Linked DNA regions of Oryza sativa Japonica Group. The protein of the gene in region 1 interacts with the protein of each later gene in a pairwise test. Links are inferred from orthologs where the notes say so. Each region holds a gene or a part of one and is shown on either strand. Other genes may lie near its edges.

Region 1 (7,863 bases):
ACCAACTGAATGTAGCAAATGACCTTACCACCACCAAAGACTAGCATTTGGCCATACCACAAGATACTTATAAATAGGATCTAGGATATTTTCTGATGATATGAGCCATGAATGAGTTTAACCAGTCTGGTTGGCATAAGTTGTGCAATTACTACAACTCCAAATTTCCTATGATAAAGAAAACAGAATATCTTCATGAACAGGTGTGCCTCACATGAATCTAACACTGCAGAGGAGACAACAGACTGTTTAGTGGTTACTGACTTCTTTAGAGGATTGCAACCTGAGTTTTGGAGTTCTTTAATACATCATGTCACTACGAAAACAGTTTCCATTGATAACTACACAAAGATAAGGACCATTGCCAATTTCTGTAACAGACAACCATTGCACCGAATTAACCAAGCAGATGGACAAGAATGAGCTGATGAGCAGGAACATATACATTATGCACATAAACTAAAAATTCGGATGCGGTGAAAGAACAATATTTATTCTAATGGAAGAACAATAACTCACTGTTTTTATGAAGGCAGCTGTACTTTTCCCTGGCCGTACAAGCGGTATTGAAGCACCTTGCCGCTTCAATTGCTCACTAAGATCATCAGGATCCAATTGAAGGAAGGTGTAATAGTAATTGAAAAAGGCTATAAGCAGTACATTAGTTGGAATATACAAAGCACCTGCAGCATGAAGTTAACAGAAAGTGATTTACATGCAAACAAAATGTCTATTGCATTGCCATCTCCCATATAAAGACAACAAATTTCAAAAGAATTATAGAAACTCCTTGTTTACCTCCTGGATTTAGGGATATGGCAGCCTTTTTAAGAAACTCTAAGCCAGTAAATCGTGCCAAAGTACCAGGCAAAGCCAAAGAAGATGTAGAAAATATTATAGGCATGACACCAGAACTATTGACCTGCTCATAATGGTAGCATAGTAAGTCATAAGCAATATTTCCTTTGGTAATTTGTAAGGTAGGACATAAAAAATCAAATAAAATGGAAATTAGAACAATTATGACTCCCAATGATGGAGAGAGGTTAAGAAAAAAAATATTAGAAGCTTGATCTTATTTCATTTGCTAAAAAATAACAGAATAATTGTGTGCTTGGTCCTACAGGCTCCAACTCTTGTTAGATCAAAGTTATTTAGATTGTTAAGTCAGAACATATGGGTGATATCCTCTGGCTTTAATTCGTCCATACACCCTCTACAAAGTTATTTAGGGCCTGTTTGGAGAGCTTAAAATTCTGAGAAGCAACTGGCTGGTAGGCAGCTTCTGAGAATCTGGAAAAGCTGAGTTTCCCAGCTTCTAGCTTCTAGTTCATTTTCTAGATTCTACAACTACAGCTTCTCAGAATCTAGACCAAAAGCTGGACTGTTTGGGGGAGCGTCTGATTCTAGGAGAAGCTGCAACAGCTAGAAGCTCCCCCAAACATGCCCTTAGATTGTTAAGTCAGACACCCAAAAGTGCCAATGGAACGGTTTAAAGTAATAAACAAAGAAAAATAGAAAGTGAACCAAAAAGGTGAATTGAGTGTCATTCAAATGAACGGTTAGAAGAGTACAGACAACATATAATCAAGAATAACAACTAGGAGTCTGCATACCAACTTTCAGAATTATCCCTTATTTTGCACGAAACCACAACTATCAAATGAAGATAGGTCATTCTTCCAACATGTGGTAAGTCACAATGCAAATGTAATACTATCAATAAATTTGGAGAAAGTTCTGAATTGTAAGTATTCAAATGAGAAGCATCCAGAGTATCAACTAAAAGCTGAAGCTCAAACTCAACCCTTGCACAAAATATATGGAAATATAGACATTAAATAGAATTAAATGGAAGCACAGCAAACCTTAAATGGTAGATATGCAGATCGTTGGAGCCCTCCACTCCGACTACTGTATCGAGAAGCATAATTTAGCGGAATTTTCCTCTCGGCTTCCTGAAACCACCCAAGTGATCTCAAATAAGCAATGAGCAATTTGAGAGGAATTCCATATGTATCTTGACAAATTAAAACCTGCTTACTTGGACATAAACAATCCCAAGAACTAAGAAAAGGAACGATAATATGATTGTCAGAAGCCCAACATAATTCCCATCTTGAAATGCCTGTGCAACTGTCCTTCCAAACGATGCAGGTAAATACGATATTATACTTGTAAATATAAGAAGAGATGTTCCATTTCCGAGTTTTAAATCAGATATTCTTTCGCCAATGAAAGTTGTAAACACCGATCCAAGCGTCAGTAGTGTCACAGATGTGAGGACCCATTCTGTGCTGAAGTCATTAACATAAGGACGAAGAAAAAGAACTTGCCCAATAGCCTAGCAAGAAGTAAACAAATTAAAGAAACCAGCCAGGAAGGTACTAGAACATTCCGAATTTTCAATCAAATTAAGGAATATTTTGTAACTAATAACCACAAAATACTATGAAGTACTAGGAGTATAGTACAACCAGGCAAAGCAGAACAGAGTTTTTCCATAGTTAACTTAACAGCACAAACTTAATTGGGTAAAACAAAAGGTTGATTTTTATTTTATGTGCTTCAACAGCATATTTACTTTGCCAATTAGCATGTGGAAATAAGTTCCAGAGTATTTGTGATATGTTAAGCATTTGTCCTCTACGCCAGAGCTAGGTCATTGCTGTATAAAAAATATAGTTTCTCAAAAAACTTTAACTTCTCAAAGCACCCAGCATTCCTAAAATCTGGAAGATTCACAGTCATATTTTGTGACATGTTCAATACAAGTCAAAAAGGTTAAAGGTATATTATCAAGTAAAGGTCAGTTGGTATATAATGTAACGACTAGCGACATAATATTCTAGAGCTTCATATAGATATGTTTGCTCAAGTACTCCGAAATCTAGACGAGACTAACTGTACCCCCTTGGCACCCTGGAAACCGACATCCCACGTCTTCCAATTTTCAATCAATCATGTTGACAAATAAATATGATAAGTGCTCCAAGAATCTAACCTGGACAATTGCAAAACCAACAGATGCGTATCTTGTATACTGAAGAACCTTCTTTCTTCCTGCCTCTCCTTCTTTTTTCTGAAGATCTTGCAATTTGGGATAAAGTTGTGCAAGAAGCTGAAACACAATCTGTGCATTGATAAATGGAACAATGCCAAGGGAGCATATTCCAAGTCGGCCAATACCTCCACCAGAAAAAGAATCCAAAGTGCCTAGTAGACTGTTCTGGTCAAGATTACCAGCGAAAGCATCCCGGTTCACTCCACCCAGAGGTATATAAATACCAAGTCGAGACAAGGCCAAATAACCAAGGAGCTTCAAGAACTTCCCAGGTAGAGGACCCTTGAAGAAGTCACCAATGTCAATGGAACTATCTTCAATTGCAGCTGCTCAAAAGGGAACTACTTGGGTTAAGACACATTTTAAATAGGAATTCTAGTTGGTTAAACTTATTAGGCTGCGTTCAGGAGTGAGGGTTGGGAACCTCACTCCCACGCACGGAAAACGGAGCAGCGATTAACGGATGATTAATTAAGTATTTGCTAAAAAAATTTTCAAAAATGGATTAATATAATTTTTTTAAGCAACTTTTGTATAGAATTTTTTTGCAAAAAACACACCGTTTAATAGTTTGAAAAGCGTGCGCGCGGAAAACGAGGAAGGGAGGTTGGGAAAGGGAGGGAACGAACTGAGCCTTAAAGTGGATTCAAGCTGCAGATACATGAACAACATAGGTCAATGCTCGTAAGTAATTGAACAGTAACAGCCTATGAGGCATGCATGGGTAAAATAAGTTTTTGCACTGATAGAAAAATATGAACATAACTTGAGTTAATTTTACAAACAACATGAAAAGTTAGAGTAGTAGTTCCACATATTTATAACAAGCAAGATCCTGCTGATAACATTATGTCAAAACCATGTGTAATCAAGAGGTTTCCTTTCACGCATACTGAAGTCTCTAGGATTTACCATTACCAGATTACATCTGTGTTAAAAAAAATCTAAGTACTACGTAAATTACATGGTAGCTCTCTCAGAACTTCATCATATTACTTAGATGGAAAATTTTCAATAATTTCTTCACTAACAATTTACTAACATAACATCGTCTTCAGCTCAAACTACGCATTTATCCTAATAAGTAATAACACGCTCCTACAATGATGTAGAATGGTACTGCATAGGTAAATTAGTACAGATATTCCAAAAGCATTTAACAACAAATTCTCAAAGTTACACGCACAAAAAATAGGAAGGGGTTAACTTGGCAACCTGCTGCTCCTCGTCCATAGGACTTCTCCTTCCTGCCGCCGCTCGAGCTCCCGAACACCGGCGACAGTACTCCGAAGAAGTTCGACAGCGGGGACTGCGTGTCATTCCTCGAAGGCCCATCGTTGTACAGCCCTAGGGGATCAAAGCCAGGGCCAGCCGTCTCCAACGCGCACCTGCGAAGCGGATAAGCAAAAAAAAGATCGAAATGAAGCGGAGCTCCTCCGCCAATGCGGGATGAAGCGCGTACGGCGCAATTTTACTCTCGAGAAGTGATGCTGGTATGCTACCTGGGGGAGCAGGGCAGGGAGGCTCCCCTCCTCCTCCTCGCCGCCGACGCCGACGCCGACGCGGCGCGGCGCCCACGGAAGCGGAGGGAGGCGGGAGCTCCGGAGACGGGGGACGCGGAGGAGGGTGCGCGTGGAGGAGGAGGAGGGGGAGCGCGCGCGCGGGTGGGGAGCCAGCATTGCTGCGGGGTGGCCATGGCCGCCATGGGTGGAGGGAGACGGACGAGTGGATTTGGGAGGCGATAAGCGAGGTGAAATGAGGAGGTGGCAGCGGCGCAGAGGATGGGCCCTGGGCTCTGGGCCCTGGGCCTCAGCCGGGCTCGTGGTCGTGGGCCGTAATTAGCTTAGGCTTAGCCGCTAAAGCACATCTCTGTTAGGAAAAAGTACATCGAAGGTCCCTCAACTTGTCCTCGAGTTACAAAATCGTCCCTAAACTACAAAACCAGATACCCGGCGTCCCTTAACTAATCAAAACCGGTCACAATAGGTTCTTTAATGGTTTTGACTCCGGTTTTAACCTACGTGGCAGTTGAGTCAGCGTGGAACCCACATGGGGCCCACGTGTCAGTATGCCACGTCAACTCTTTTTCCCCTCTTCTCATCCTTCCTCAGATGGGACCCGCTTGTCAGGTGTCTCTTCTACCTCCTTCCCTGCGCCAACACAGAGAAGAGAGGTGTCTCTTCCTCAGAAGGACGGCGAGGCTCCAGCGGCTCGGCAGCAGCGGCCGGCCGGCAATGGGGAGGAGGTCGTCGGGGCGAGGAGGTCCACCTTTCTCCACCAGCCGCCGGCGGCGGTAGAGGAGCTTCGCCGGAGATCAAGCGGAGCCGCAGAGGCACAGCGGGCTGCTCCTCTCCCCGCCCCGTGTCGCCTCTTCCTCCTCGTCGGGCCACCGCCGCCACCGCCACCAGATCGTCGATCCCGTGCCTCTCCTTCCCGGCCACCAAGAGACCCACGCGCCCGGAGCAGGTGGATTCGGGGCCGCATCGAGGTAGAGGTGGCGGGTGGCGTCGCCTCCGAGCTCACCGATTTGCGCCTCCATCCTCTGGTCTCACCGCCCCGCTTCTACTTCTACCCCCATTTTCCTTGTTGCTCGTTGGAATCAGCTGCTTAGATTCGATCCTTGCTTTCTTTTTCCTTTTTTTTTTCATTTCCTAACCAGTTGCTTGCAGAGTAGAGTATAGTAACTTGTTAGAATCAATTGGTGTATGATTTGCTCAGAGTAAATGGTATGCGTAGCGTAGCGCTGTCAATTAACAACAATGGATTTATTATGTCATGCGAATTGTACTGTGATTTCATTTCGTTTTACCTGAAATTAGTATCACCGCCTATTCTATTTCTACTTCCTCCGTTTCACGATTTAAGTCATTATAGCATTTCTCACATTCATATTAATGTTAATGAATCTAAATAGATATATATGTCTAGATTCATTAACACCAATATGAATGTGGAAAATGCTAGAATGACTTACGTTATGAAACGGAGGGAGTATATCACAACCGGTATGGATACTCGGCAGTGTCACTGATGCCTGTCCATCTACTGCTAATTACCATGACAGAATATCACAACCGGCGAGCAGGCGGCGACGCAGGGGACGGAGCCGAGGCGGAGGTAAAGGAGCGGGCCGTGGCACGCGGCGAGGCGGTGGAGCGCCTGGTGCGGCAGCGGCGTGAGCAGGTGGAGGTGGCCCAGGATGGGCAGCCCGAACGGGCTCGGCGGGAGGCGCAGGCCTGGTCCGGCCGGTCGTCGGATCTCCTCGCCCCGATGACCTCCCTACCGCCGGCCGCTGGAGCCACGTCGTCCTTCGCTACTCTTCCTCTCCTCTCTGTGTTGGCGCACAGGGAGGGAGGTAGAAGAGACACTTGACAAGCGGGCCCCATCTGAGGAAGGGAGAGAAGAGGGGAAAGAGAGATGACGTGGCATCATGACATGCGGGGTCCACATGGGTCCCATGCTGACTCAGCCGCTACGTAGGCCAAAACCGGAGTCAAAACCACCTAAGGACCTGTTGTGGCCGGTTTTGATTAGTTAAGGAATATCGGATATCTGGTTTTGTGGTTGGGGGATGATTTTGTTTCCTCTCTGTTAACGCAGATCGGCCTGTGATTGATTAAGACTTGTTTTGTCGATTTAGGTTTGTGGTTTGGGCTGGGCCAAAATTCACTTCAGTTTTCGTTTTCCCCAACGAGAACACTTGCCATAGTTTCTAAAAGAGAGAGAGAACATTTGCCATGTCGATGGGCCTGTTTAAATTATAACCAAAAATAAACCTTACCAAATTTTGGAAGGATTTCTTCTGTATTTATTAAATTTGGTAACAAACTATATTTTTTTTTGACAACTTTACTTAAAAAATAGTATGGTTGAAAATTGCATTAATTTGAACAGCCCCGATGTTGACAAGAGATCGATCTCATCTACGATCTTTTGTTAATTTGATGTCAGAAATCATTTAGCCATCTCCAGATAGAAATTGAGATATCCTAATGTAAGACGAAGAAGTCTAACATGGGACAAAAACAACACATAAATTAAATTGATCAATGGGTATGTGAATATGAGATGTATTTTTTTTTCAATTCGTAGCTCCTTTATAAAACATACGGTCTGCATCATCCAAATTATTTGGCATGAATTTCTGAATAAATGTCATTTTCATAAGAAAAGAACAACACAAATAAACAAATTTCATGAAAAATTCTGATACGCCACAAAGTTGGAGAGCATACTCAACATCTACCACAAAGTTAAGTGGCATTACAGATTTGCTACAAAGTTCAGCAGAATACCCTCGTTTGCCCCCCACCTTCTTTTTCTACCCTAATCTTCTTTCATTTCCCATCTCTTCTTGGATTCTCGACGAAACGACGACATGCATCCGTGAGTAGAGCACTGGCGAGAGATGGTGGCTGAGTATCGACAAGCTGTTGACGTAGAGCACTAGCAAGCGCCTGCCGCAAGGACGAGCGGCAACGGACTGAACATTGGCGAGCACGCGTGAGCAATCGGCGCAGCGAACGACTGACGGCAAAGCCAGCGGCCGAGCATACACGCACAGTAGATTCACCGATAGGCAAGCAAGCACGAGAGCAAGCGAGCTCTAGTAGCGGCTACGGAGAGCTCGGAGAGGGTAGACAATGGCATTGAGGCAGGTTGACAAGCATCAAAAGCTCAGTATGAGAGCAGTGGCGGTGGCAATGCCGTAGGAGTTGAGGATGATATGGGAGTAGTGGTGGTGGCAATGCCGCAAGAGTTGAGAACGAGAGGGGATAGATAGAAAGAAGATGGAGAAG
Region 2 (7,779 bases), on another chromosome or scaffold:
TCCGAAAAAATAAAATAAAAATGACACCGTTGCAACTCCATACAGAGAAACAGGAATGGAGGCGGCGGCGCCAGCATGGCTGGCGCCCTCCTCCTGCCACGTCGGTTCGCGTGCACCACGGTGGCAGGAGGACGGCGCCAGCCTCTCTGGCGCCGTCCCGTTGGATGACGGCGCCAGCCACTCTGGCGCCCAAAAAAGGACCATTTCTGGGATAAGTTTTTTCAGGGGTCTATTTGCGAAATAAGTTTTTTAAAAGGACCAAAATGTGAAAAATCCAGAGCAGATTTCCAGTGAACGACACCATGGTTTTTGTAACTTTTTTTTCCTTCTGCATATATACGTAGGTTACACGAAGGATTTGCGACACAGAACTCAAATTCTGCGTGAAAATTGCGTGCCAAACTTCTAGTTTTTGTTTGTTCCTTTCTGTATCAGACTATGTTCGTTTTGGGCTTGTTACCAAGCTGGGTAATGATTAATGAAAGTTGCCTGTTGTCAAAATTAAAAAAAATGCGTGCCAAAGCAACGGTGTGGAATTGATCAATCGTGCACACAAAGTTTGCCTCAAATGTGAAAAGTGCAAACAAAGTATGGCACAGACATCTCAGGCACAATAATTGTAGCCAGCAGATTCGACAAGCTGCAGTTGAGCTAATGATATATTGTCTCCAACCAAACCAAACACCTCTTCATCGAATTATTAGGATTTGGCCTTATTAGTATAATTGCTCAGAATCACAGAAATTGGCTCAAAGATTTAAAGTAGACGTAAGTTCAGCAATGTATTTTTTTTTCCTCACCTTTTCTAGGCGACTGGATTGTTCTAACTTCTGCAATATACTCCGCAAAGAATGTTATTAGGTTACAAGAGGGAAATAAATGCATGTAGAGCATGAATTATGCAATTCCTGCGTGAGTTTGGTACCCACATTGCAGAGTAGCACAAGAATAATTTGTGTACTACTCTTATGTTGTAGCACATACTCAAGCCATGCCTATCCTCTCAAACCTATTGTAGTGTACTGAACTATTTTCATCTTGCTGTGTGCCAGCAAAACACCTGTACCACTGGAATGTTTCGTGTCTGTCCTGCACCTGAAGATTAGCCTTCCCAACTGATCATCAAAATTGTGTCCGAGATCAACTACACAACCGTACTGGCCAACTGAATTAACCTGTATTTGTAAATGTACATGACATTAACACCAATTGATCAAGGACATATGATAAGATAGAGTATAAACCTTTCTTTTTTGCCACTTAAAAAACATGAACTCCAGAATTCAAATAAGCTAGTGAGCTTCTTTATAAAAAGGTGTTTGTGTGTTCATAGTACTTACCAGTAATGACAAAAATGAAATCCAATCAGGTTCTGTCACACCTACTGAACCATGCGCTTCCTCTTTGATCTTTTGCCCTTCTTTCCGGAGTAATTTGGAAGTTTCTTGTTGCTACTGGAATTGTATCTTTCCTCAGGTCCTCCCTGCTGTCCGTTTTACATCAGTAATTGAAATTTGTTATGATTCACACGGACTATTTTAAGGGGAATAGTGATTTTCTAAGATGACTAGCTTGAACTGTCTACTACACAGTGCTCCAGCAGGACAAATGAATGGTAAAAAAAGATTGAGTACCTCTTCAGTAGTCTCATCATCCGACTCTTCATCCTCTGATGTTGAGGCTGAAAGATCTGAATCTCCTGCAGCAAGCGCTTTGTTGCCTTTTCTCTTGCTCTCCTCTTCTTTCAGCTGTTTAAATCTATTCAAGATATTTTTGTAAAAATCAAAACCAGAATATAATAGGGTTAAAAGCCATGTGAGGTTCAAAAGCACCTTTCACCAGGTTGGGCTGGTTGAGCACTCGTACGTTTTGCTCGTCCTGCAGTAATTATCCCACTACCCCCCTGATTGACAACAGGCTTTGCTCCTCCCAGTTTCCGTAACCAAACTTGCTGGGCTGTGCTGAGGATATTATTTGTGAACCTGATAGCAAACATGGAGTCAATACACATATTGGATTTGATCAATTGCAAGAAGTTAATGAGCAGTGGAGGAGTCCCACAATCTCTATGAGGCATAGCACTATAGCATGGAACATGACTGAAACACTCATACAACTAATAGCAAATGCACATACCAATAAATGGACAACCCTGACGGCACTGACAAAGAGAACCACCCTATCATAAATGGAAGAAATTTCAAAACAAGCAGTGTGTTCTTCTGCGATGGATCATCAGTCTGCAGAAAAAAAGGATCAAATTGCCAGCCACTCATAGCTTGTATAGTGGCAATATGACAGATGATATAGTAATTTAGAGCACCGCTCGTCTGCTCACCTGGGGTGGCTTCATGATTTCCATAGAGACAAACTGAGAAGCAACAAGTAGCACAGGCAACACAAGATAACATATCGTGTCATGCCAGCCTAATGGAGGATGGCCATCCTGCACAATTCATTTAAGTTGTAAGTATGATTTACCATCTCAATATTATGCAAGTACATGAGTAATATGCTGTTTTACTATCATGTCTCTACAGGACTATAAATTGGTATGCCACGCCATTTATTTCAACCAGAGTTCTAAATAATAGGCAACAAAATGCGAGGTGCAAATAGCTAAGCTTCTTGTTGCTTGATTGCTTAAATGACTATGGGCAGAAACGTGACACTAATCTAACTTGACGGGTATGTCAAAGTCAAATAAGGGGGGAAAATGAGGTTAAATTCGCTCAAGTGCACTATAAACCTGATTTTCCTAGATCAGCAATGAAATTGTTGATATATGTTAACGTGTGATCAATTTTATTACCACAAAAGGCAAGAGCCAAGAAATGCCAGCACCACTTTGCCGAGCAGCAATTGTTGTAGGGCCTCCCAAAGATGGAATCCAGAAAAATCCTTCTGTCAGTAATCCCTTCAGAGAAATATAAGCCACTTAGAACAAAATCCTCTTAATGAAGCAAATATTAGGAAGCAGGATTTGAGTTTTACCTCGTTTGCTACATTTGAAAGGGCTTGGTAGAGGCCAATCCAGACAGGTATTGTTGCCAAAGTTGGAAAACATCCTGGAAGAGAAACCATAATATCAAAACACTATATCACAAAAGCAATCTCACTTAAAACTTTAAAAAGCCAACAATTGGTTTTGCAAGCACATGATGGCAATAGATGCATTATGTCGAGAAATAGAAAATATGATCAACTAATAAATAACAAACTCATACAAAAAAGATGCAATGGAACAATTCAACTATCAAAGTTAATAGGCTAAAGAATGGAGAAGTAAGCGACCTGCCAGAGGGTTGACTCCAGCTTGCTTGTATAACCGAGCAGTCTCAAGCTGTATCCTTTCCTAATAAGAGTTATGTAGGAGTGATAGATCAGAAATGCCCAAAGATATGTGCTTGAAAATATAAAACACAACAGTGAAATAAGAACATTTTTTGGGAAGATAGTTCTACCTTCTATCGTTAAAATATGCAAAACATATATCCAGAAACAAACCTCAGTGTTCCTACTTTAATATCCATGGCGTGCGTAAAAGATAAACAAAACAAACCTGATTTCCTGCATATCTCTGTTGAATTGCTTTGATCTGTGGCTGTAAATTCTGCATAGCCAGAGTTGATTCGACCTAAAAAAAGAGAGGAAAAACAGCACAACTCTCAACCCACCATATCCATGTTACTCATTAATTAAAAAATAGACCAGATTTTATCATTTACCTGTTGTTTCGTTAAAGGTAATGTTGCAGCCTTCACAATAACAGTGAGAAGAATGATGGCGAATCCATAAGAGTACGGCACATGAACAGCTGACAGGCCATCCTTCAGCACCTGTATGGTGATACTCACATAGTATCAGCATTCCGGAGCCGATGAATGCTATGCAATAAAATCCTAACAGTTCTTGAATTGTAACATTTCATATCAAAACCTGTGGATAGGAAAATGCTAAACAATGCACGCCTGGTCATAACTAGATATAAGTTACTTAAAAATAACCATGCCGGGTTGCCGTCTGCTCAATGTTTAGTAAGTTTCAGAGCATGGAGGCGTCATAATTAAGTGCATGCACATCTACTCCTGCACTCTCCACGAACTTACATGACTCCAAATCTCCAATTCCCCAACCAATTCACCAGACCAACTTTTGCAACTCAGGGATATATCCATTAACCAATCTTAGCAATCCTGAACCTGAACTCCTAAAGTGACTTGGATTCCTATAGGTTTGGGAGAAGACGGCGGCGCTTACCTTAAGCACGACCTCCAAGGCCTCGGAGATGAACCCGAACCACCCCCCGTTCTTCTGCGCCACCGACGCCGCCGCTTCACCGCCACCACCACCGCCACCCCCTCCTCCTCCCGCCGCCGCGTCCGCCGCGACGACAGCGGCGTCGGCGAGCGTGTAGAGCGCCGCCTCGGCGCGCTCCAGCGCGGCGTGGAGGTCGAGCCCCGCGATCGAGTCGAGCCCGTGGAGGCTCGCCCTCACCCTGCACGCCGACGCGCGGCGGCCCCCGTGCCTCCGCAGCGAAGGCAGCGTCAGCATAGGCAGCCTCGCGGCGGCGGCGCGGGGCTGCAGCGAGGGGAGCAGCGACGAGGAGAGGAGCGCCTTGGCCATCGCGGGGGGTGCGGGAGGGAGGGGGGTTTAGAGGGGGGGGGGGTCTAGGGTTTCATGCACGAACGCCGAGGCGGAGGAGGAGGAGGAGGGTGGAGGTGGGGGGTGGGGGGTGGTGAGTGGTGGTGGTGCGAGAGGAGGAAGAAGAGGTAGTCGTTGGAGGGGAAGAGGCGGAGGTGGGGGATGCTTTATCTTCTTCCTCCTTTCCGCGCTCTTTTGCTGTGGACTCGGTGCACAACTCCACTTCGCCACTTCATCAAAGCGGCTCACTACTACAGTGTACGTAATACTCCCTCTGTCCTAAATGAAACTAAAACTGTATGTAATATTTTCTATTATAATATAGAGTCTATTATGATACATTATACTTGAAAACGTCCCATCCAATTTTATATTCTAATATTTTAGAATAGGTAGTAATGATTTTTCGAGGTTTTGACACGAATAACGTTTCCGTTCCGTGTCGAAACCTCGAAAAATTTGTAAGATGGTTTTCGCCTAAGCACCGGATCCTGATCCATGTGGATATAACGGTTTTTGTCAATTTTTTTATAACTTTTCGTTTAATTTTGGTCAAATTGACTGTTTCAGATTTGAACCATTCTAAATTTCAGTCATAACACTATCAAAACCTCGAATTTTTGCGGTTTTCAATTGGTTTTTATCGAAAACATGAATCCTAATGTCTACACTTCTGTTCACTTCAGTTCGATTTTAGTGAAAAGCCTCCTTGGGGACAAAAATAAATTTTGAAGGACCTTCGTATACAGGAATTACACTGATCTATGCAGAAACCATTTGAAAAAAAAAATGTATTTCAAAGAAACCCCGAGTATTTCGCAACCAACCTTTTTGGCATATTTTTTCTTTAAACATGCACTATATTCAGATTCAACGATGCAATCGTAATTTCATTACAATCATACCCTACATATCAGTTTTCTGAACGTTATTATCATTTTTTTTCTAAACCCATTTTGACAATTGGGTATAGATCGACCAAATGTAAGGCCCCGTTTGAAACACGTGAACTGTTTCCCTGATTCTTGTGAATATTTTGTGTTTCAAACTTTCAGAATGTGAAATACAAACTGAATTGTGCAGCATTGAACAAAGACCGCACCGGTAATAGTACTACTTTGACAGCACGGTAACAGATGGTCAATGTCTGCTAGTAACAGCCTGGTTTCTGAATGATCGGCCCGGGTGAGAAGAGATTGTTTGCCTGAAGAAAATCGAGTGTGGTCAAGGGACTATCTGAAGAATTCGCGAACATTGTATCAGTGAAAAATTATTCACCATTCGTCAGAAAGAAAGAAAAGCACACGACAAACAATGAAACAAACATCACTGGGGTTCAGACTTTCAGAACAGAAGCTGTGATTGTTTCACGACCACACACAACCATCGGTCTCAAGCACATTACGCTCCTTTCTCCATGGCTACACAAACTACAGAACTCGTGAGAAGCAGGCCACGGTAGCATGGCTCATTGCTGGCCACACGCAAGCCCGAAAATATCATTTGCTACAGTCCAGGTGAAAAAAAGATCTTTGCTTCACCATAGCATCCAGGAAAGGTGCAATTTACTGTAGCAAAAAAAAAAAAAACAGAAATTTTGATCACTTCAATTCAGGATTCAGCAAACGGGTTCACCAAACGGAATTCGCATAGGAGCATATCGATCATGAAGTTAGTACAGCAATGGGATCGAGTTTTTGGTTTCAGTTGAAAGCGATCCAGCCAGTAGTATTGTAGTACAGCACATTGAAATGATTAAGACAGCGATTACAAACAATTGCTGAAATTGACAACACAGTTCCGAACTTCTAGTCGTAAGTAGCTGTCGACATTATTATGGAGTAATGAACCGTTGAACTTGATCATCAGATATATATACAGAATTTTAACTTTGCCATGTTCCATAGAAATCAAGATCTCCAATATAGTGGTGCTAGTGTAAAAAGTACAGGGGAGAATCAACAAAGTGGTAACTTTTTTGCCTAAATCACCAACACTACTGAGAAAGGAATTTCAGCTAAATGTTTAGCAGCAAAATATCCATGGCATCACTTGTTACTTTCCTGCATATCATGGCATGACACAGGAAGATCTAAAGACTAAACTGTTTTCTGTTCTATGATAAAAGAAGATCGTTTTCACCAAGGTGTGGGGGCCTCATGCAAACCTGGACTTCATGCTCTTCGGGTCCAACTCGGTGCTTGGGGACCATGATTTCCAGTCCAGTGCCAGTCTCGTCATAATACGCTTCGAGCTTTGCATCTTCTGGAATCCTTGTAGCCAAAGGTATCTCTCTCACAAATTCTCCAGGAGGGCAGTGCTCAGGGAAAGGATCAGTCAACTTGAATGTCCTGTCATGTCTCTTAACAAAGGGCATTCGAGCAGTGCTCACACACGATATCTTCACAATGCCATGTGTCAATGTGTTCCTCCAAGAGACCTTGACACTGTGAGGATCAGAGAAGAGCATGCTCACCATGATTAAGTAGCCTTCATCGTCCTCATATATTGTCTTGGCAGCCGTAACAGGTCCACTTGCATGTTTTGCTACACCAGTGAACTCATGCATCCATGACGGCTCACCTGTGTGAACTTCTATCTCTTGCTCTCTGTCAGAACAAGAATTATTTGCCATCACGCAATCCTCATCTGCACCATGAGCAAAGAAGTCCTTCCGTCGCTTGGCGCATTTTGGTGAAAGGTCCATCCCATCGTCTGATGATGGTGGCGTAGAAAGGTTAAGACCTGAACCATTCAGTGCCTTTTTGTGACTGTGAGAGCCATGTGTAATCTTTGATGACAGTGGCAGTGGCCTATCAAGTTCGAAATCAGTGCTTGGAAGATTCCTCCATGATTCAAAGTCACTTGCTTCAGGAGGAATTGAGAAATTAAGTTCTCTTCCTGTAAGTTCCGCCCACCTTTTCATTTCAGCTTCAGGAACAGCTGACAGATTTGGTGAACTCACAATCTCTATCCCATGAAGGCATTGTGGGTTGGACAGCCCTCGATAGTGCTTTCGTTGCATGCGGTGTGACCTTGCAAAGCCCTTATCTGCACTGAATGGAAAGGATGGCTCACCATGCTTGGAATGCCCATTCATGAAGCTCCGGAGCTGCATCTTCCCGAGGGCATTGT
Region 3 (7,690 bases), on another chromosome or scaffold:
AATCTTGTCCATAATTGGTAACTCACAATGGGCCATCCTTAGTTGAGTCAGAGTCGGGCCGGTAAATGCCCGCGTGTATCCGGACCGCTCTCACACACTCCCATTTTTTGTTGGAAAAAGTACACCGAAGGTCCCTCAACTTATCATCGGGATAAAAAACATCCTCGAACCGCAAAACCAGATATGCCGGTCCCTTAACCGTACAAAACCGGTCACCCGAGGTCCTTTGGTGGTTTTGACACCGGTTTTGGACTATGTGGCGGCTGAGTCAGCGTAGAACCCACGTGGGTCCCACATGTCAGTATCCACGTCATCTCTCTTTCCTCTCTTCTCTTTCCCTTCCTCCCCTTTCTGCTCTCTCTCTCTCTCTCTCTCTCACAGGCCGGGCCGACGAGTAGGGATTGTACGGCCGAGCGGCGGCGCTGCGACGGCGGCCGCGCACACCACGCCCACCTCGCCGCTGCCGCCACGAGGCCCGAGGCCCCCAGCGCGTCGTCCCCCAACGACCGAGGCACGAGGTCCGCCGCCTGCATCGCCCACGACGACCTCGCCGAGGCCGCGCGCCTCGTCGACCGCTCACGCGGGGAGGCACCCGACGCCGCCGTCGCCACCGCCGTGAAGACCAACGCCGGCGAAGTCCGTGAGTCGAAGCACCAGGCGCACACAGCCGCTCCAGTCGTCCGCGGTGTTGGGGCTCGACTTCGAGGACACCGCCCTCACCCTCCGCCTCCCGGGCTCCCTCGCCGCCGCCGTCCCCGACCCCGACCGCAAGCGCTCCTCCTCCAAAGCCGACACCGCCGACAACTCCTCCCCCTCGTCGCCGCCGCCGAAGCCGAGAACGAGACGGCCGCGAGTTGGGCGTCTAGGGAGATGAGGAGGGAGCGGGAGCGGCAAGATCCTAGGAGCGGGAGAAGAAGAAGAGGGCAGCGCCCACCACGAACGGCGCGGCGGTAGAGCGCAGCGAGGACGCGGACGGTCGCGAGGACGACGAGCTCAACGACGGCGAAGGGGAAGCCGTCGTCCCGCCCGCCGCCGCCGTCGCATACTCCGCCGCCGTCGCATACTCCGCCGCCGTCGTCCCGCACTCTGCTGCCATCCCGTACTCCGCCGCCGTCGTCCTCTGCGGCGCGCTGGCCACGGCGAGGCGCTGGCCGGCGCCGCCGCGCTCGCCGCAGCGTTCATCGGCTCCCGCGAGGCCGGAGCGTGGGCGTCCGGCGTGGCCGTCCTCTGCGGCGCGCTAGCCACGGCGGAGGCGCTGGCCGGCGCCGCCGCGCTTGCCGCGGCGTTCATCGGCTCCGGCGAGGCCGGAGCGTCGGCGTCCGGCGTGGCCGTCCTCTGCTGCGCGCTGGCCACCGCGAGGCGCTGGCCGCCGCGCTCCCTCGCTTGCTGCGCTTGCCAGGGCGGGAGGGAAGGAGGACCGGGCGGAGCCCGGGTCGGCGCCGCCGCCGTGGTGGTGGTCGCAGTACTCCATGACGCGGGCGAGGGCGGCGCCCTTGACGACTTCGGGGAGGTTGACGACGACGTCGTCCTCGCCGCCGCCGCCGCTGCCGCGGCCCTCCTCGAGCATCCTCCTAATCGTGCCCGATGCCGCGGTGATCACCTTCGATGAGGACGGAACGGGAGCGGGAGAAGAAGAAGAGGGCGACGCCGCCGCCGCCGGCCGCAGGCCGCCGTCGCAGCGCCGCCGCCCAGCCGTCTGCTCCCTACCCCGTCGGCCTGGCCTGAGAGAGAGAGAGAGAGAGAGCAGAGAGGGGAGGAAGGGAGAGAGAAGAGGGGAAATAGAGATGATGTGGACACCTGACATGTAGGGCCACGTGGGTCCCACGCTAGGGAGATCAAAACCAACTAGGGACGTTGGATGACCGGTTTTGTATAGTTGGGGGACCCGGGTGTCTGTTATTGCGGTTCAAGGACGTTTCTGTATCTCGGTGACAAGATCAGGGACCTCCGGTGTACTTTTTCCTTTTTTGTTGACCCAAAAAATAGTTCCAGTTCTTGAGCTTCGCAACAAGAGGAGGACGATGGCTTGGGTGGCGCTGGAGTGCGGGGCCACGGTTGTTTGGGGCAATGGGGTGGTTCCGTTGGTGTATTGCTAGTGAGCTTGCCCCAGTTAGTAGTAGGGTTTGTTTGGTAGATCTCCAACTCCTAAATTTAGCTTCAGGAATTAGGTTTGGAGTGAAATTGTGGAGCAGACTAAACCCAACTCTACCTCTCTAGTTATTGTTCATTTTGTGAGAGCGCTCCATCCAGCTCCGCTCCCATTTTAAGTGGAGCTGAAACTGTTTTGCTAGACTCCAACTCCAGGAACTGGAGATGTGGCAAACAGTCCTGTAGTATTATACATTGTAGTACTGAACCTAGTGCTTGAGTAATAAAAGATACTGCATCCTTTTCATATTACAAGTTTTTTTAACTTTTTCCTACTGAAATTTCTTTAGGTTTGATAAGTTTCTAGAAAATTTAGCAACATTTATAATACCAAATTAGTTTCATTAAAAATAACATTTGAATATATTTTGATAATATGTTTGTTTTGTATTGAAAATGTTCCTATATTTTTCTATAACCATGATCAAACTTTTTTAAATTTAACTATAAAAAATCAAAGCGACTTATATCGGAGGGAGTAGTAATGAAATTGCTTGATTCAGGGATAGTAATAAGAGCATACGAGCATAATGGCTTTTAGTCACCTGTAATAGGATGCAAAAAAAATTATTTATTTAAGCTTCGGTTAATCAACATGACACACTGTTATTGCACCAACTGTTTCATATAGGTCTGTGAATAAGTTACCTAATGCAGCTGAAGCTTTTGGTTGATTGCTTCCTGGTGCAATTTATAAATATGAACGTACTAGAAAATAGGCAGTAGCATAACCTTGAATGCTTTGGAGTTTAACCTTATATTCTTATAAATACGGACAGCACAAGTGCACAACATCACATCAGCATAGCACCTCGATAGATTGGCAAACAGAACAAATGGATGCTTGCCGGCTTCATCCAATTGGAACTGCTCGATTTAATTCTTGTCGTCTTCACCATTAGCTTCAGCATTGAAAGGTAGGCCTATACCAGGATTCATGAAAGGTAGGCATTTATTAAAATATGTCTACATTGTTCATGGAACTTTCTTCGCAATCTCCAGCATTTCCTGATAATGCCATCAAAACCAAGATGGTGCTACAGCACAAAAAAGAATCACTGATTTCTGTATAACTGTATAAGCATTGACTGTTTCATGTGGTTCAATACTTTGGGTCATGGGTGTAGGATCTGCAGATTGTAGACAAACAAGTTGTTTATGTATGTGTGGTGCAGAGAATTATATTGTGCAGTTCTGTAAACAGATGGCTGGTTCATGTTTTCCTTTTGTTGTTTTTTTCTGTTAAAAAAATTGACAGCTTCCTCAGCACAGCTGCTTTCTTTACCCCTTATGCCTTCATCTGTAACAACCCCAATATCCCACAGAACTAGTTGGAGAAACACCAGCACCTCAACTCTTACATGCAATCGATAATCAAATTAAAAAGAAGGCAAACAAAGCCAAAGGTCAAAAAAGGCAAAACAGAGTTTTTCCCATTCAGAAAAGAAGAGATGACAAGAGAAGATCCATTGGTGCATAAATCTAGGTCAGCAAGATCTAGTATAAGGCCCCCATTGGGCAATTAGATTTCAGGAAATTCACATATAACCGTCTGATTCCCATTGAGATCCTGTAGTTATTCTACACTCCAAATAGGACATGTCAGATACCAGGGTACTCCTATGATGGTAGCACATGGAATGGAACTGAGTACCACCAGAACTAGGTGGGTGATGAGAGGTGGTGCAGAGCCTAGAGATGGAATAAAGCAAGGCCAACAACAGGAATAGCTAGGATGAACAAGAAACACTAGGTGTAGAGAGTCAAAACCCTAGGGGGGGCATTGCAAGCAGCAACGCCGCTAATCACTAGACAATTGACCATGCTCAGTTCACATGGTGTGGGTAACTACAATGAAGATTATGCCATTATATACAGATAGAAATTAATTCAGCCACACTGTAGAGCACTCGAATAGGTGTTTTTCATGATAATCAATTATGTGAGATCAAAATGACAATGTGCGACTCAGAGATCCAAACAGTGCTACACAGCGAAGTTCAGACATGAGAGCTACACTGTAACTACACTGTAATGAACTCAGGATAATTTGGTCGGTTAATACCACTACATAGAGGCATTCAACCATGTACTCATGTATTGTGGTTGTAGCTATGCAATTTGAGCTAACTTAGACCACTGGAACAACAAATCAAAATTCTTGTGAAATATTAGTAGTATAATAAGTTTATAAAGTAGAACATACATCTAAGGTAGCCAAATATTAGTAGTATAATAAGTTTATAAAGTAGAAAATACATCTAAGGTAGCCAAATATTAGTAGTATAATAAGTTTATAAAGTAGAAAATACATCTAGGTAGCCAGGTAGGTTTCTGAATAGTTGACAAAAATTTCAGGCAAATTCATTGTTTGGAGAAAATCTCCAACCAGAGGTTAGCACAGATCAATAATGTCAAGAACCTAACCATATTTATCTTGCAAAAACACAAGCAGTGTTTGGGTTTCATCGATCACCACTCTACAAGTAGCAATTGCGAGGAGCAGTAATTACGCTAGACACGAACCTTCCGCCTATCTCAGACTCTCAGCTCAACCTTCATCAGAAGAAATCCTGGAGTCCCCGGCCGGCGAAGACGCGGTCGGAGAGCTCGGCGAGGAGCGCGTTGACGGAGAGCAGCGCGGCGGTGGAGCCCGCGATGACGCCGAGCACCACGCCGGTGGTGCCCACCACCTTCCCGGGCGCCGGCCACTCGATCTCCGACATCTCCTGCGCGGCGCCGGCCCACCACCCGCCGCCGCCGGCCGCGGCCTCCGCCTCCTTCCGCGCCCGCAGCACCTCCTTCAGCTCCGCCGCCACCGCCTCGGGGCTCTTCTCCCCTCCTCCTCCTCCTCCCGCCACCACCTCCCCGGCCTCCTCCGCGCCGTCCACCGCCGTGGCGGACGCCTCCTGCTGCTCCTGCTCCTGCCCCTTCTTGTCCTCCGCCGCGCCTGCGCCTGCGCCCTTGGACTTGGAGGCCGCGCGGGCGAGGCGGCCGCGGCAGCCGGCGGCGGAGCGGGAGAGGGATAGGGAGATCGCGGGAGGGCGGAGGGTGGAGAAGGAAGCGCGCGTGGCGGCGGCGGCGGCGGCGGCGGCGGCGGCGGGGGCGAGGAGGCGGGCGGCGGATGGGGTGGTGGTGGTGGTGGTGGTCGGCGTGGTCGCCATGGCTTCCCGGTTTGGTTGGTCCAGCGGCTGTTCGGCGTCGGAGATAAGAAAGAGTCGAGGAGATGGGAGGTCGTCTCCTCTCCTCCTGGAGCCGTCCGATCGCTGATCAACGGTCAGATCAGATGATCAGAGGCTTCGTTTCTTTACTTCTTTTTTTTTTAAGAAACAGAATACGGCTGAGTTCTTTCCCTAAGGCCGAGTTTAGTCCAAACTTTTTCTTCAAATTTTCAATTTTTTCATCACATCAAAACTTTCCTACATACATAAACTTCCAATTTTTCCGTCACATCGTTCCAATTTTAACCAAATTTCCAATTTTGGCGTACACTAAGACTGTGTTTAGTTTCAAACTTCCAACTTTTCCATCACATCGTTCCAATTTCAATCAAACTTACAATTTTAGCGTGAACTAAACACACCCTAACTTTCCCAACTCACGTCTCTCGTTTTCCATGCGCACACGCTTTTTAAACTGCTAAACCGTATATTTTTTATAAAAATTTTCTATACAAAAGTTACTTTAAAAAATTATATTGATCTATTTTTGAAAATAAATTTAATAAATACTTAATTAATCACGCGCTAATGGACCACTTCGTTTTCCGTGCAGAACAGATTTGTTCCCAACACTACCAAACAAAAGCCCTAAACACATGTGCACACTCACACACCTCTATCCATATGAGCAACTTCGGAAAACTAAACTGATATATCTTAATATTAACAAAGTTATCGAGGACACTTTGCTATCGACGAATATGTCGCATATCATTAAAAGAATATTTAGTCATAAATACAATCAACCGTATAAATTTAGAACTTGAACTTAAGAAGCTAATTTCACCTTAAGTAACCAAATCAATTGAACTATGCAGGAACCGTATAAATTTAGAACTTGAACTTAAGAAGCTAATTTCACCTTAAGTAACCAAATCAATTGAACTATGCAGGAAGCTTCGGGTTTTCTCCGTGAGACGTTGCGAAAATGGGAAATTTCTCGGGTTTTTTTTTTAGTTTGCAAACAATAGAACCTGAGTCACAAAGTGGAATTGTCAAGTTGTGGAATTCATGAATGACCATAATTCAAACTGTATGTTTTATGTAAAATTCATGCAATACTGCCAGCATTACGCACTAACACACCCTTAACACACTCAAATAGACCGAGACCGAGGTGGAAGCATTAATTTTTCATATACCTTAACACAATGTACTTTTACCTATATGTTACTCCATACTACATATACTGCTTTTAGAAATGTTTGTAAATGTTTCAGAACTGTGATTTCATTTCATGTTATCATCAGAATACCCGCCCTGCTTACATTTGACAAGGGTGACAGTAGAGATATGAAGAGACTCAAGTGAAGTTCAGAAAACAGTTTTCAGGCATACGCTACAACGTGTCCAATCGGAAACTGATCAACAGATTCATTTGGCGTTGCCAGCAATCTCTCCCCATGTCACGTATCTCGCCGCAATTGAAGCCCTCAATACCTTGTATGGAAGAAACCTGTATTTTGTGGGCATAGTAACAGATGCCAAACATGGCCATTTTTCTCCAGCAAAAACTTTGTACATTTGCAAGTACAGTCCACTGCCAGGCCAATGTAGAGTAGGCCTATTTTCTTCTAGACCATTTGTTGTGGTTTTCTTCAGTTAGTAGGGCAACTGGCAGGGGATTTCTCCAGCACAGATTGCTCACGTTTCCATTGGAGGTGATAACCAGGGATCTGCCTTGGACTCACCCCTTTCTGGATGGGTGGTGAGTTCCATGACTGTAGAGGCCTCCCGATCGGTTGAACAGATGCCAGAAAACCTGGAGGTGCTTCGGCTTTGCGCATTACCTGGAAATAGAATGTGTTGGCATGAGAATGTTGACCACAACAAGTAGTTAATGAGAATGTAGTTGACCTAGGCAGATCCAAGGTTACAATGTACTACTACCTCAGTTTCAGGTTATAAGACTTTCTAGCATTGCCCACATTCATATAGATGTTAATGAATCTAGGCACACATATATGTCTAGATTCATTAACATATATATGAATATGGGCAATGCTAGGAAGTCTTGTAATATGAAACGGAGGAAGTAGTAGTTAACAAGTATAGTAATAGTATAGAGTGAGGTTGATAATGAAAACAAAGGTCATACTGTTAGAACTCTTGAGAAAAATGATGACCCACTCAATGATACTGCCTTCTCAACAGATTCCTTGTCAGTGAAAGTAACAAATGCAGCCCTGCAAGGATATGCAACAAGAAGCCAACAATTAACAACAGGGCAGCTTATAGATGCCACGGGTAAAATAGTTTGAAAGTATATATACCCTTTAGGGTGCCCAGAAATTGCATCTGTCAATATATTTATCTTAAGC

Evidence for each region.
Region 2: the proteins of preprotein translocase subunit SECY, chloroplastic (region 1) and inner membrane protein PPF-1, chloroplastic interact in binary tests that used the Arabidopsis thaliana proteins (3 or more experiments, as listed by UniProt). The link is inferred for Oryza sativa Japonica Group from reciprocal best matches to the Arabidopsis thaliana genes SCY1 and ALB3.
Region 3: the proteins of preprotein translocase subunit SECY, chloroplastic (region 1) and preprotein translocase subunit SECE1 interact in binary tests that used the Arabidopsis thaliana proteins (3 or more experiments, as listed by UniProt). The link is inferred for Oryza sativa Japonica Group from reciprocal best matches to the Arabidopsis thaliana genes SCY1 and SECE1.

What each region holds. Positions count from the first base shown.
Region 1 is NC_089042.1:9,458,881-9,466,743, reverse strand, and holds the start of preprotein translocase subunit SECY, chloroplastic, read right to left. Parts: upstream 4,791-7,863; 5' UTR 4,770-4,790; coding exon 4,567-4,769; intron 4,453-4,566; coding exon 4,280-4,452; intron 3,391-4,279; coding exon 3,005-3,390; intron 2,345-3,004; coding exon 2,045-2,344; intron 1,959-2,044; coding exon 1,869-1,958; intron 923-1,868; coding exon 799-922; intron 684-798; coding exon 520-683; intron 1-519. UniProt on the Arabidopsis thaliana protein: Involved in protein export. Probably interacts with other proteins to allow the translocation of proteins across the chloroplast thylakoid membranes. Required for normal greening during embryogenesis. Central subunit of the protein translocation channel SecYE.
Region 2 is NC_089035.1:2,775,117-2,782,895, reverse strand, and holds inner membrane protein PPF-1, chloroplastic, read right to left. Parts: upstream 4,803-7,779; 5' UTR 4,627-4,802; coding exon 4,261-4,626; intron 3,840-4,260; coding exon 3,729-3,839; intron 3,638-3,728; coding exon 3,563-3,637; intron 3,356-3,562; coding exon 3,295-3,355; intron 3,069-3,294; coding exon 2,995-3,068; intron 2,918-2,994; coding exon 2,813-2,917; intron 2,447-2,812; coding exon 2,339-2,446; intron 2,241-2,338; coding exon 2,137-2,240; intron 1,983-2,136; coding exon 1,833-1,982; intron 1,759-1,832; coding exon 1,635-1,758; intron 1,487-1,634; coding exon 1,382-1,486; 3' UTR 1,341-1,381; intron 1,176-1,340; 3' UTR 757-1,175; downstream 1-756. Other genes in the region: uncharacterized protein, read right to left, coding at 6,761-7,779. UniProt on the Arabidopsis thaliana protein: Required for the insertion of some light harvesting chlorophyll-binding proteins (LHCP) into the chloroplast thylakoid membrane.
Region 3 is NC_089038.1:14,051,466-14,059,155, forward strand, and holds preprotein translocase subunit SECE1, read right to left. Parts: upstream 5,330-7,690; 5' UTR 5,313-5,329; coding exon 4,710-5,312; 3' UTR 4,675-4,709; intron 3,279-4,674; 3' UTR 2,700-3,278; downstream 1-2,699. Other genes in the region: uncharacterized protein, read right to left, coding at 6,968-7,159, 7,468-7,555, 7,643-7,690. UniProt on the Arabidopsis thaliana protein: Involved in the import/insertion pathway in the thylakoids. The signal recognition particle is not involved in the insertion of SECE1 in the thylakoid membrane.